Linked DNA regions of Caenorhabditis elegans. The protein of the gene in region 2 purifies or fractionates together with the protein of the main gene of each other region. This does not show direct contact. Each region holds a gene or a part of one and is shown on either strand. Other genes may lie near its edges. The genes, in order: ssb-1 and Y25C1A.8.

Region 1 (4,072 bases), on a different chromosome or scaffold from region 2:
AACCGTGATTTTTCAATGTTGGCAAATTCCCTTCAAAATAGCGGAGGGAACTTAGTCAAAATTGAAAAAGAGACATTTTTATAATTTGGCGATTTTTTTCTGAATTTGAGACTACTTTAGATTTTTTGAAGCAAAATGTTGATATTTTCCCAATAAAATCTCACTAAGTCTTTTCAATTTTCAGTTCGACGACGCTGCTGCCACCGTTAAGACCCTCAAGACTTCCCCATCGAATGATGAGCTTCTCAAGCTCTATGCTCTGTTCAAACAAGGAACCGTCGGCGACAACACCACCGATAAGCCAGGAATGTTCGATTTGAAGGGAAAAGCCAAGTGGTCTGCCTGGGATGAGAAGAAGGGACTCGCAAAGGATGATGCTCAGAAGGCCTATGTTGCTCTTGTTGAGGAGCTCATCGCCAAGTACGGAGCCTAAATAAATTCTGTTTGATAATACGTTTTTTTAACATTTATATTTTTGTAATGAAGATTCTGTGATTCCGAAGAATTTAGACATAAAGTTGCCTATTTGATCAGCAAACTTGAACTTTCAGAAGAATGCATTTTCCATGTTCCCTGTTCCGAGTGATCTGCAATTTCTTTTTTTCCGGTCTGCTACTCTAAAACTTTGGTTTATCCGAATAATTTATAAATCAAAACCGCAACTCTTTTAAATTGGTAATAATACAGTAAAAGAGATGTTAAAAAGAGTGAGAAGTCAACAAAATGAGGGTATTCAAGATTAATGAATGGGGGGACAACACAACAATAATGATAACAACAAAAAATGGAGGAAAAAGTAAAAAAAAAAGAATGAGATTTTTGGGTTTGTTCAACAAAAGATGAAATTACTCGGCGGCAGCAGCAGCTGGAGCACCATCCTCAGCGAACACAGTACGCTTAGCCTTTGGCTCATCAGATCCATCTGCACCTTCATCGTTTGCTGACCGCTTATCACCTCGGCGGTCTCCGCGTCCACCTCTTCCACCACGACCTCCACGACCACCGCGGCCTCCTCGTCCGCCACGACCACCGCGTCCTCCACGTCCACCTCCTTGCCTCTGATTCTTTCTGGCATTGAACTCTGTCCAGTATTTCTCCTCCTCTTCTCCATCCAAAACTCGTGCGGAGAGCTCAGCCTCTTGAAGAATGACTTTTCCATCAGTTCCAGCTGCAACAGCGTTGTCCCAGGCCTTCTGCGCTCCTTCGCTGTCATTGTTGAAGCGGATTTCGGCTGTTTTGCCTCCATTTTCATGTGCAACGTATCCAACAGATCCGTGCAATTTGAAGAAAGTCTTGATGCTGTCAATAGTTGAATCAGGTCCAAGTCCATCAACGGCCAGAATGAGACCTTTCTCGTAACGGACAGCGTGCTGAGCCTTTTCTGATTCAATCGCTTCAGAAGTATTCTTAGCTGATTTGGCAGCCTTGTTTGCAGCACGAGCTTCCTTGGTTTCTTTGTTCTTCAGAGTCCAATACTCATCTTGCATCATCTTGGTCAACTCTGTCTCTCCGAACTTAACTTCAGCCTTTTGTGCGGCTTCGGCCTCCTCTCTAGTTTTGTAAGTGATGAACACACTTCCTTTGAAGGTTCTGTCTCCTGGCTTCAAGCGACGCATAAGAACGTTCTCGGTTTCTCCGAATTGATTGGCCCATTGAATAATGTCGTCCAATTGGGTGTCAGTGCTGAATCCTTTCTGAAAAATGAGAAATTGATAATGTAAAGACAAAATCAGAAAGATACAAACGTACCATATACACAGTTCTGTGCTTGATTTTTTGCCAGTACTCCAACGAGTTCTCCGGTACTGGATTCTCTTCGTTTCTGCGGATTTTCTGGTTGTCTTCGGAGACGCTGATTATTCCCGAACCAGAGTTCTTGACAGCGTTGGCAATCTTTTCAGTGTCCTTGCTGATCGAGGCTAGGCGGTTGAAATTGAGCATCGTGGTAATTGGGACCCCTGAAATGAAAAATCAACAATCTTAGAATTGAAGAAAAACAACTTACATCCATCGTCTTCCTTGAGTTTTTCCTGGAGGAACTTGTCTCTTGGAAGATTGATGTTTCCGAAGTAATACTCCAATTGCTTAATGATCTTCTGATCAGCATCGTCGTGAACGGCGGCAGCGGTCTCACCCATTTTCTTGCTGAATAATACAAATTAACAGAGAATACAACAGAAACGAAAACGAAACAGAAGAAACAAGGCATGTAACATTTTGGAACAAATCTTACTTCAAACTTCGACTTTCAGTAATGCGAAAACTCATTTAACGTGTTTTCTAATTCCTGAAGTTGATTGCTCGATAATTAAACTGAACATAATCAAACTAGGTGAAATTAGGCCTAGAACGCCTAAAAACTAGGGAATTTGAGATTTTCTCGAAGTATATTTTCCAAAAGTTGATTATTTAAATATTAAATGTTAATTTTAATTTGATTTTCTTTTAAAAAATGTAAAAAAATAAAGGAATAACAGCGACCGATAAAAAGAAAATATAAAAAATGTGTGCAATGAGTTTGAAGTTTCGAAAATGATTTTTTGCAACCCTGGCACACACTTTATGCAAAAACGGCGCACGCAATTGATGCTCCGCCCACTTGTTATTTATTATTTTTGTTCGTTTTTTTGTTGTTCTTCTGTTTTTCCTCTGTTGAGATGGGAAATTTTGATGAATTTTCGATTAAAAATAATAATAAAATAACGAAAATTTCGAGAAACAAAAGTTTCAGCTGATAAAACTTTGTAAAACAAAGAAAACCTCTGTATTTCTTTTTTGTTTATTTATATTGCCTCGTGATTGCGAAAGTTAACGCAATACATCTTGCTTTGTTGAAATATTATATCGATTTTCTAATCAATTATTTCCAGAAAATACAAAATTAATTGAAATTTCGATTAATGGATCCGCGTGAAACGGCAATCGGACTTGTCCGATATGTCACCGAAAATGCGGCAAAGGATTTCGACGGAGAATCGATTGCAGCAATTATTTACAGACTACGGGTTGTTGAAAATTGTAAGGAATTCTAGAATGATTTTATTTACATGCTTTTTTGGGTGGAAAACACCAAAAAAATCCTTTTTTTTCCAACAAAAAAAACCCTGATCCGTTCTGAATCTATTATTTTTCCAGATGTAAGCAGCGATGTCGACATTATCTGCGAAGCAATGCGAATTTTAATCAAAAAACTTGTAAATCTACCTCCAATAACATTTTCTCCGGATGTTTGGATGCCTATAATGACATCTATAACCGAAGGTGCAATTGAACCACAATGGCGAATCATGATGGAATCAATCGATATTTCCAAGTTTTCTTCGACTTCTTCTAATTTTGTGCATATGGATTCCATTACTGCATCTTCTACAAAATGTTCCGAACAGATCACATCAATTTGCAAGGGATTCGCTCTTGAATTCGGATTGACTCGTCGACTTTTCTCAGCTATTTGGAACACTGATCTTGAAGAAACAGCGCGTAAAATGATGAATCAGGAGTGGGATTCTGTGAAAATCGATTCAAGCCCAGACTCGGCGAAACAAGCGGCTGGTCTTATTGAGAAGAGCATTTTTGATTTATTCTCCGAGATGAAGGATCATGAAACATTCGCGAACGAATTGTACTATGCAGCGTTGGCGAGAATTTTGAAGTATGGAAGTTTAAATTTTAAGAAAAAATTAAAAAAATTAATTAAAGCCCCCGAAAGTTTTCAACAATAATAAGTACATCAAGTTTTATTGATCTTGTTAGGTATTTGGTGGCAAAACCGAAAATTCAAACATTTCTGACTAGTTTCACCAATTTTCAAGCACTTTTTGTCTTTTTTTGTTTAGTTTTCCGTCGTTTTAATGAATTTTATGCCAAAGTTGATGAAATGAAATTCATAAACAAATTAAAAAATTCTTATTCACTTTTCAACTTCAAATGCATTCTTTTATTTTAAAAAACGAAGAAAAATGCTTGAAAATGGGCGAAACCAATCAAAAAAATGTTTGAAATTACGGTTTTACCTCAAAATCAGGTGCCGCCGAATTTGTTTTCGATTTTTCGTTTTTTTTTTGAACAAAAC
Region 2 (7,905 bases):
TTCAGGACCGGAAAAGCCCGAAAAATCCAAATTTCCGGCTTAAAATCGCCAATTTTCGAGCTAAAAATCCTAGTTACCAAGATTAACATCCTCCCATTTTTGCGAAGGCGGCGCTGGTTGAGCCATTGTTAAAATCGAAAAATAAATTTTTTTTCGCAATTTTCTACTGTATTTTTTTGTTTAAAAAATTTTGCCAACTCACTTTGAAAGTTTAAATCCATTTCGGGCTGTCACGTTGTTGGGTTTCTAGAAATTATATTAAAAATTGTAAAATTTCGAGAAAAAATAGGTAAAAATAGATAAAAATCGGCTAGAAACCGTGTGGAAAAAGTCAGAAAAATGCGAAAAATCAATAAAATTACAGAGAAAATTCAAAAATTTTTCACAAAAATATGATAAAAACCGTGAGAAATTCGATATTTTGAGATGATTTTTCAAGAGAAAACGGAGAAAAAATCGGGATTTTGAGCAACAAAAATTAATAAAATAGTGGAAAAAAAACGGTTAAAAACGGAGAATTTTCAAGCAAAAAATCAATAAAATAATGGAAAAATTGGGTAAAAACTAGCAATTTTTAACGGAAAAACTGGTGGTTTTAGAGCGAAAAAATCAATAAAATTGTGAAAAAATGGCGAAAAAACGGCGAAATTTAGCGTTTTTATCGTCGAAATCTGTCTCTCGATCGGCTTCTTCGTCGCTCTTTTTCTCTGCGTCTCTCGTCGTCTCGGCGTCTATCACTGGTGGTGCCACGTGGCGGGGAACGGCGGCGTTCGCGAGAACGAGATCTGCAAAAAAAATGGGGAATTTTGGCTGGAAACGGGGAAAAGTGCGGAAAAAATCGATTTTTAAGCTTAAAAATCCCATTTTAAAGCAATTTTGAGCAAAAATTTGGCAAATTTATCGATTTTCCGGCAGTTTTTTGTATTTTTTCGTCGATTTTTTAGGAAATTTGCACGATTTTCGACGGTTTTTTCCGAGAAAATTTGGAAAAATTCAAGAAAAATCGCATTTTGACCTCGAAATTCCAATTTTAGAGCAATTTTCAGCGAAAATTTGGCAAATTTATCGATTTTCCGGCAGTTTTTTTGTATTTTTTCGTCGATTTTTTAGGAAATTTGCACGATTTTCGAGGGTTTCGCTTCAAAAAATTTTAAAAAACTCTCAGAAAATTCACATTTTGAGCTGAAAATTTAAAATTCCGGCAGTTATTTTGTACTTTTTTCGTTGATTTCTAGCAAATTTACACAATTTTCGAAGGTTTCTTACAGGAAAAATGGCAAAAAATTCATGAAAATTCGCATTTTTGAGCTCGAAAAATCTGATTTTACAGCAAAAAACTGGCAAATTTTTTTTTAATTTTCTGGCGATTTTCAGCCAATTTTCGGCCAATATTCAGCAAATTTCTTCCATTTTTAGGCACAATTTCGACGAATTTTCAGGGAATTTTCTGCTAAATTTAGCGAATTTTCAACGAATTTTTGGCGTATTTAAATGATTTTTCAACGAATTTTCATCGAATTTTCGGCAATTTTCTGCCATTTTTTGGCGAATTTTCAGCGTATTTTAGCGAATTTTTAGGGAATTTTCAAAGAATTTTCAGGAAATTTTCAGGGAATTTTCGGCGAATTTTTGGCGTATTTTAGCGAATTTTTAGGGAATTTTCAAAGGATTCTCAGGAAATTTTCAGGGAATTTTCATCCATTTTTCAGCGAATTTTAGGCAATTTTCGGTGAATTTTCAGCGAATTTTCGGGGAATTTTCGACGAATTTTCGAGGAATTTTCGGCGAATTTTCGGGGAATTTTCGGCGAATTTTTGGCGAATTTTCAGCCATTTTTCAGGGAGTTCTTATTTCATTCAATTTCGACGAATTTTCAGCGAAATTCGGCCATTTTTAAGTAATTTTTTGGCGAATTTTCAGCGATTTTCCAGCCAATTTAGGCCATTTTTTAGAGAATTTTCATCCATTTTTCAGCGAATTTTAGGCAATTTTCGGTGAATTTTCGGGTAATTTTCGACGAATTTCCAGCGATTTTTCAGCCAATTTTCAGCAAATTTCCGCACCTCTTGCGATCTCTCCGATCATCCCGATAACTTCTTTCTCGGCTTCTACTCCGACTTCTTTTTCCTCTCTTTCTATCACGATCTCTCGGTGAGTTGCTCCGTTTCCGATGGCTTTCACGATCCCTTTCTCGTGATGTTTTGTGCATTTTTCGACGATCTTTTTCCTTTTCATCTTCACTTTCTGGGCAAGAGCATTCACCGCCCGAGCATGAGCATGAGCATCTGAAAATTTTAGATTGGTTTTTTTTTTGGGATTTTCTGTAGGAAAAAGTGATTTTTCTGAAGTTTTTGAGGCAGAAAATGTGAAAATTGAGCAATTTTGAGCACTAAAAACCGCATTTTCAGTGAATTTTTGGCATTTTCCTACTGAAAAATTAATTTTTCTCAACTTTTTGAGGCAAAAAAACCGCAAAATTCATGAATTGTGAGCATTTTTCAGCTTTTTCGCAGCGAAAAACCGACTTTTCTTAACTTTTTCAGTTAAAAAATATTAAAATTGATCAATTTTAAGTCCGAAAATCGATATTTTCAGTGAATTTTTTGGCATTTTCGCGTGATTTCATTGCTTTTTTAGGTAGAGAATATGAAAATTGAGCCAATTTTCAGCAATTTTCAGCTTTTTCGCCGAGAAAAAGTGATTTTTCTGTAATTTTTGAGGTAGAAAATGTGAAAATTGAGCAATTTTGAGCACTAAAAACGGCATTTTCAGTGAATTTTTGGGATTTTCAGTAGGAAAAAATGATTTTTCTGTAGTTTTTGAGGCAGAAAATGTGAAAATTGAGCAATTTTAAGTACGAAAATCGATATTTTCAGGAAAAGTTTGGTATTTTCCCACTGAAAAAGTGATTTTTCTGTATTTTTTAAGGTAGAAAATCGAAAAATTGATGGATTTTGAGCAATTTTCACCTTTTTCGCGGAGAAAAAGTGATTTTTTCAATTTTTTGAGGAAGAACATCGATATTTTCATCAAATTTTTAGCATTTTCCCGATGAAAACTTGATTTTTCTCTGAAATTTAGACGTTTTTAGTCGAAAAATTCAATTTTCTGTGATTTTTAAGCATTTTTCCAGGTAGAATTATAAAAATGTACACAATTTTCAGCCTTTTCAGCCAGTTTTCGGGCAAATTTTCGAGTTTTTCAGCGAATTTAAGGAGGGATTTTCAGAGAATAAGTATGGTTTTAGGTTGTTTTGATGCAAATTTTCTAAATTTTAAGCTGAATTATTCAATTTTTAGTCAATTTAAAATTGATTTTCCGCTACAAAGCGGGTCATTTTTTCGATTTTAGCAACGTTTCAGCGAAAAAATTCAATTTTTCTGGTAAAAAAACGTCAATTTCCTCAATTTTCGGTCAATTTTTCTCAATTTTTAGCGATTTTTCGCCAATTTCAGTCAAGTTTTGGCGAATTTTAGCGATTTTCCTCATTTTTTCGCCAATTTTCGTCAATTTTCATCCATTTTTCCTCATTTTTCGCACTAACTCGCTGTCATCACAGGCTTCCGAGCCAGCTGCCGCCACCGCCACAATTTTGCTCTTCAAATTCTCGACTTTTTCCACTAATTCCGGATCGGAATCAAAATCGAAATTATATTTTCCAAGATCTTCTCCATCCTCATCTTCATCTTCATCGGCTTCATCGTCTTCGTCGGCTTCATCTTCTCCACGTGGAGTCCGTTTTTTCAAATCATCTTTTACAGCAATTTCTTCATCATCCGAAGCTTCTCCTTCCTCCATATCTCGAAATTGATCCTGAAAAGTTGAATTTTTTAGTGAAAAATTGGTAAAAATCGATAGAAAATGGTGATTTTTAGCTGAAATTTTGGATTTTTAACCGAAAAATTGAGAATTTTTCGATTTTTAAGCAAAAAAAATCTGCTAAATTCCAAGTTTTTTGACTGAAAAACAGGGTTTAGGATTAAAATCGAAATTTTTGTAGTATTTTTTTCGATTTTTCGGCTGAAAACTGTCAAAAATTGGAGAAAATCGATAGAAAATGGAGATTTTTACCAAAAATTCAAAAATTTTCAGTAAAAATCTGATTTTTAAGCTAAAAAATCGGACTTTTTAGTGCAAAAAAAATTGAAAAAATCGAGAAAAAAATGCAGATTTTTAGCCCAAAAATTGAGAATTTTCAGTAAAAATCTGATTTTTTAGCTTAAAAAACCGATATTTTTCGATTTTTGAGTGAAAAATGGAAAAAAATCGATAGAAAATGCATTTTTAGCTGAAATTTTGGATTTTTTTAGCCTAAAAACCGGAATTTTTCGATTTTTAAGCTAAAAAATTGATTTTTTCAGTGAAAAATGGAAAAAAATCGATAGAAAATGCATTTTTTAGCTGAAATTTTGGATTTTTTAGCCTAAAAACCGGAATTTTTCGATTTTTAAGCTAAAAATTGGCATTTTTTACTGGAAAAAAATCGAAAAAATCGATTGAAAATGGAGATTTTTAGCCCAAAAATTGGAAATTTTCAGTAAAAACCTAATTTTTTAGGTTAAAAACCGGGATTTTCCGATTTTTACGCCAAAAAAACGGAATTTTTGACTGAAAATTCGGGGTTTCAACTGGATTTTGAAGAGTTTTAGGGTTAAAAATGGTCAAAAATTCAATTTTTCTGATGTTTTTGAGCATTTTTCATGCTTCAGAGTGATTTTCTGGTCATTTCCAGCGTATTTTGACGATTTTTATTCATTTTCTGGCGTTTTTCGATGATTTTTATCCATTTTCAGGTTTTTTTTGAGCATTTTCCGGGGCTTTTTGATGATTTTTATCCATTTTCTGACGTTTCTGGGCCGTTTTTCGTGTTTTTTCGCCCGATTTCCATCCGATTTCCGCACGAACCTCACCCTTTTTCTTCTTTTTCCGCCCAAACTCGTCGAATTCCTCATCATAATCGCGTTTTACGTATTCAACGTTCTGCCGATCATTATATCCACCTCCATAGCCTGTTCTACGCTCCAAATCCGCCAATTTTGGAGCATTACACACGTTACACGTCCGTCGGCGAGCCCAGTTAACGTTTCCGCACCTGGAAATTGGGTTTTTTCAATTTTTTCAGGCAAAAATTCCGATTTTTTAGCTTAAAAATCAAAAAATCTCGGTTTTTATGCTTAAAAAGCTAGGTTTTTACTGAAAATTTCCAAATTTTTCTGCTAAAATCTGCATTTTCAATCGAGTTTTTCAATTTTTTCAGGCAAAAAATCCGATTTTTTAGCTTAAAAATCGAAAAATCCCAGTTTTTAAGCTTAAAAAATAGATTTTTACTGAAAATTTCCAACTTTTTCGGTTAAAAATCTGCATTTTTAATCGAGTTTTTCAATTTTTTCAGGCAAAAATGCCAATTTTTTTGCTGAAAAATCGAAAAATCTCGGTTTTTAAGCGTAAAAACTAGATTTTTACTGAAAGTTTTCAATTTTTGGGCTAGAAATCTGCATTTTCTATCAATTTTTTCAATATTTTCAAGCGAAAATTTTGATTTTTAGCTTAAAAATCGAAAAATCCCAGTTTTTATGCTAAAAAAACAGATTTTTACTGAAAATTTTCAATTTTTCAGCAAAAAATCTGCATTTTTTTCCGATTTTTTCAACTTTTTCAGGCAAAAATGCCAATTTTTTAGCTTAAAAATCGAAAAATCCCAGTTTTTAAGCTTAAAAAATAGATTTTTACTGAAAATTTCCAATTTTTAATCTTTTTTTCAATTTTTTCAGGCAAAAATCCCGGTTTTTTAGCTTAAAAACTAGGTTTTTACTGAAAATTTCCAATTTTTCGGTAAAAATCAAAATCTTACTTTGAACAAACCCAATCTTCAGCTGCAAATAGTCCTTTCGATTTTTCCGCCTGCTCCTTGCCCAGCTCCTTGCCAATTTTGCTTTTCGCGCGCGGTTTCGCTGAAAATCGATAATTTTTGGGGTGAAAAATCGTCGAAAACCTCACGTTTTCCATATTCATCACATACAAGAAGTGATTCTTCGTTTACTTTGGCACATTTCGAGTCGACACACGCCCATTCACCGTCTTTCAGCGCTCGACGCTTTTGTTCTCGATCATCGTCGTATTTCGACGACATTTACTGACTGAAATCGGGTTTTTATTGCGTTTTTTTGAATAAAAAATAAAAAATCACTAGGAATTCGTGAAAAAAACACGAAAAACCGAGAGAACTTAAGCTTTTTGTGTCGATTTCCGTGTAAATTATCACATTTCAAAATGCGGCCGGGTCTCGCCACGATTTGCCCGCCGCTGTGTCACGGGGTACGGTGGATGGCGAGAACCACGTCACTGTGCGAGAAATCTAGATTCCAATCTTTTTCCGGCGATTTACGTGGATTTTTGCCGGTTTTCAGCGGATTTTTTCGTTTTTTCGTGGGTTTTTGAGGTTAAAAATTGATTTTTGAAGCTTTTAAAGCTATATTTCAGTCGAAAAAGCGGCAAAAATCGATAAAAAACAGGTAGAAAGAGTGAAAAGTGACGTGGCGTTGAATTAGGTCAATTTAAATCAATTTGTCGTTGAAAATTGGGTTTTACAGCTTTAAAGCCTAGATTTCTGTCAAAAAATCAATAAAAACCAGGCGAAATGAGAGAATTTTGTGAAAAATCAAGTTTCGCAACTTTTTCCGTAGTTTTCTGTGGATTTTTGCGATTTTTTTCCATTAGAAATTCGATTTTCTGTGTTTTTTGCAGAAAAAGTTACAGTTTTTGCTGAAAAATGCGATTTTTTCAGGCAAAAACGACAAAAAATCCCATTATCAGCAGAATTTTGGTGGTTTTCTCAGTATTTTTTTCTGAAAAATGCAATTTTTTCAGCCAAAACTGGCAAAAATTGCATTATTAGCAACAATTTGTGTGATTTTTCAGATTTCTAGCTGAAAAATGCAATTTTTTTCAGCTAAAACTAACAAAAATCGCATTTTTTGTGGATTTTTGCAACTTTTCGCGTTTTTTTTTCCATTAAAAATTAAGTTTTAAGGCAAAAAAAGCGAATTTTCGCGGGGTTTTACCACAAAAAAAAACCGAGGGAAAGGCGAATTTTGCATACAATTGTCCAAAAAATTGAATTTTTTCAATTTTTTTACAAGAACAGTCAGAAAATTTGCATTTTTAGTAAAAAATTTGGCATTTTTTACTGAAAAAATGGAAAAAATCGATTGAAAATGGGGATTTTTAGCCGAAAATTTGGAAATTTTCAGTAAAAATCTGATTTTTTTAGCTTAAAAACCGATATTTTTCGATTTTTAAGCTAAAAAATTGATTTTTTCAGTGAAAAATGGAAAAAATCGATTGAAAATGGGGATTTTTAGCCGAAAATTTGGAAATTTTCAGTAAAAATCTGATTTTTTAGCTTAAAAACCGATATTTTTCGATTTTTAAGCTAAAAAATTGATTTTTTCAGTGAAAAATGGAAAAAATCGATTGAAAATGGGGATTGTTAGCCGAAAATTTGGAAATTTTCAGTAAACACCTAATTTTTAGGTTAAAAGCCGGGATTTTCCGATTTTTACGCCAAAAAACGGAATTTTTGACTAAAAAATCGGGTTTTCAGCTGGATTTCGAAGAGTTTTAGGGTTAAAAATGGTCAAAAATTCAATTTTTCTGATGTTTTTGATTTTTCTGATGTTTTTGAGCATTTTTCATGCTTCAGAGTGATTTTCTTGTCATTTACAGCGTTTTTTGATGATTTTTATCCATTTTCTGACGTTTTTGGGCATTTTTCATGCTTAAAGGCGATTTTCGGGGGTTTTCCAGCGTATTTTGACGATTTTTATTCATTTTCTGGCGTTTTTCGATGATTTTCGATGATTTTTCACAGAAAAATGCGATTTAGCTGGAAAATTCAATTTTTTC

What was found.
Region 1: the proteins of Y25C1A.8 (region 2) and ssb-1 fractionate together in Caenorhabditis elegans (co-fractionation; one large-scale study listed by BioGRID). This does not show direct contact.

What each region holds. Positions count from the first base shown.
Region 1 is NC_003279.8:4,632,176-4,636,247, reverse strand, and holds ssb-1 (Lupus La protein), read right to left. Parts: upstream 2,146-4,072; 5' UTR 2,139-2,145; coding exon 2,006-2,138; intron 1,959-2,005; coding exon 1,750-1,958; intron 1,695-1,749; coding exon 846-1,694; 3' UTR 633-845; downstream 1-632. Other genes in the region: acbp-1 (Acyl-CoA-binding protein homolog 1), read left to right, coding at 185-433; ubr-4 (UBR-type domain-containing protein), read left to right, coding at 2,901-3,018, 3,136-3,652.
Region 2 is NC_003280.10:3,070,817-3,078,721, forward strand, and holds Y25C1A.8 (Zinc finger Ran-binding domain-containing protein 2), read right to left. Parts: upstream 6,138-7,905; 5' UTR 6,131-6,137; coding exon 5,998-6,130; intron 5,952-5,997; coding exon 5,852-5,951; intron 5,093-5,851; coding exon 4,906-5,092; intron 3,814-4,905; coding exon 3,545-3,813; intron 2,286-3,544; coding exon 2,064-2,285; intron 1,580-2,063; exon of another isoform or gene 1,529-1,579; intron 786-1,528; coding exon 659-785; 3' UTR 368-658; downstream 1-367. Other genes in the region: Y25C1A.7 (Yip1 domain-containing protein), read right to left, coding at 203-221.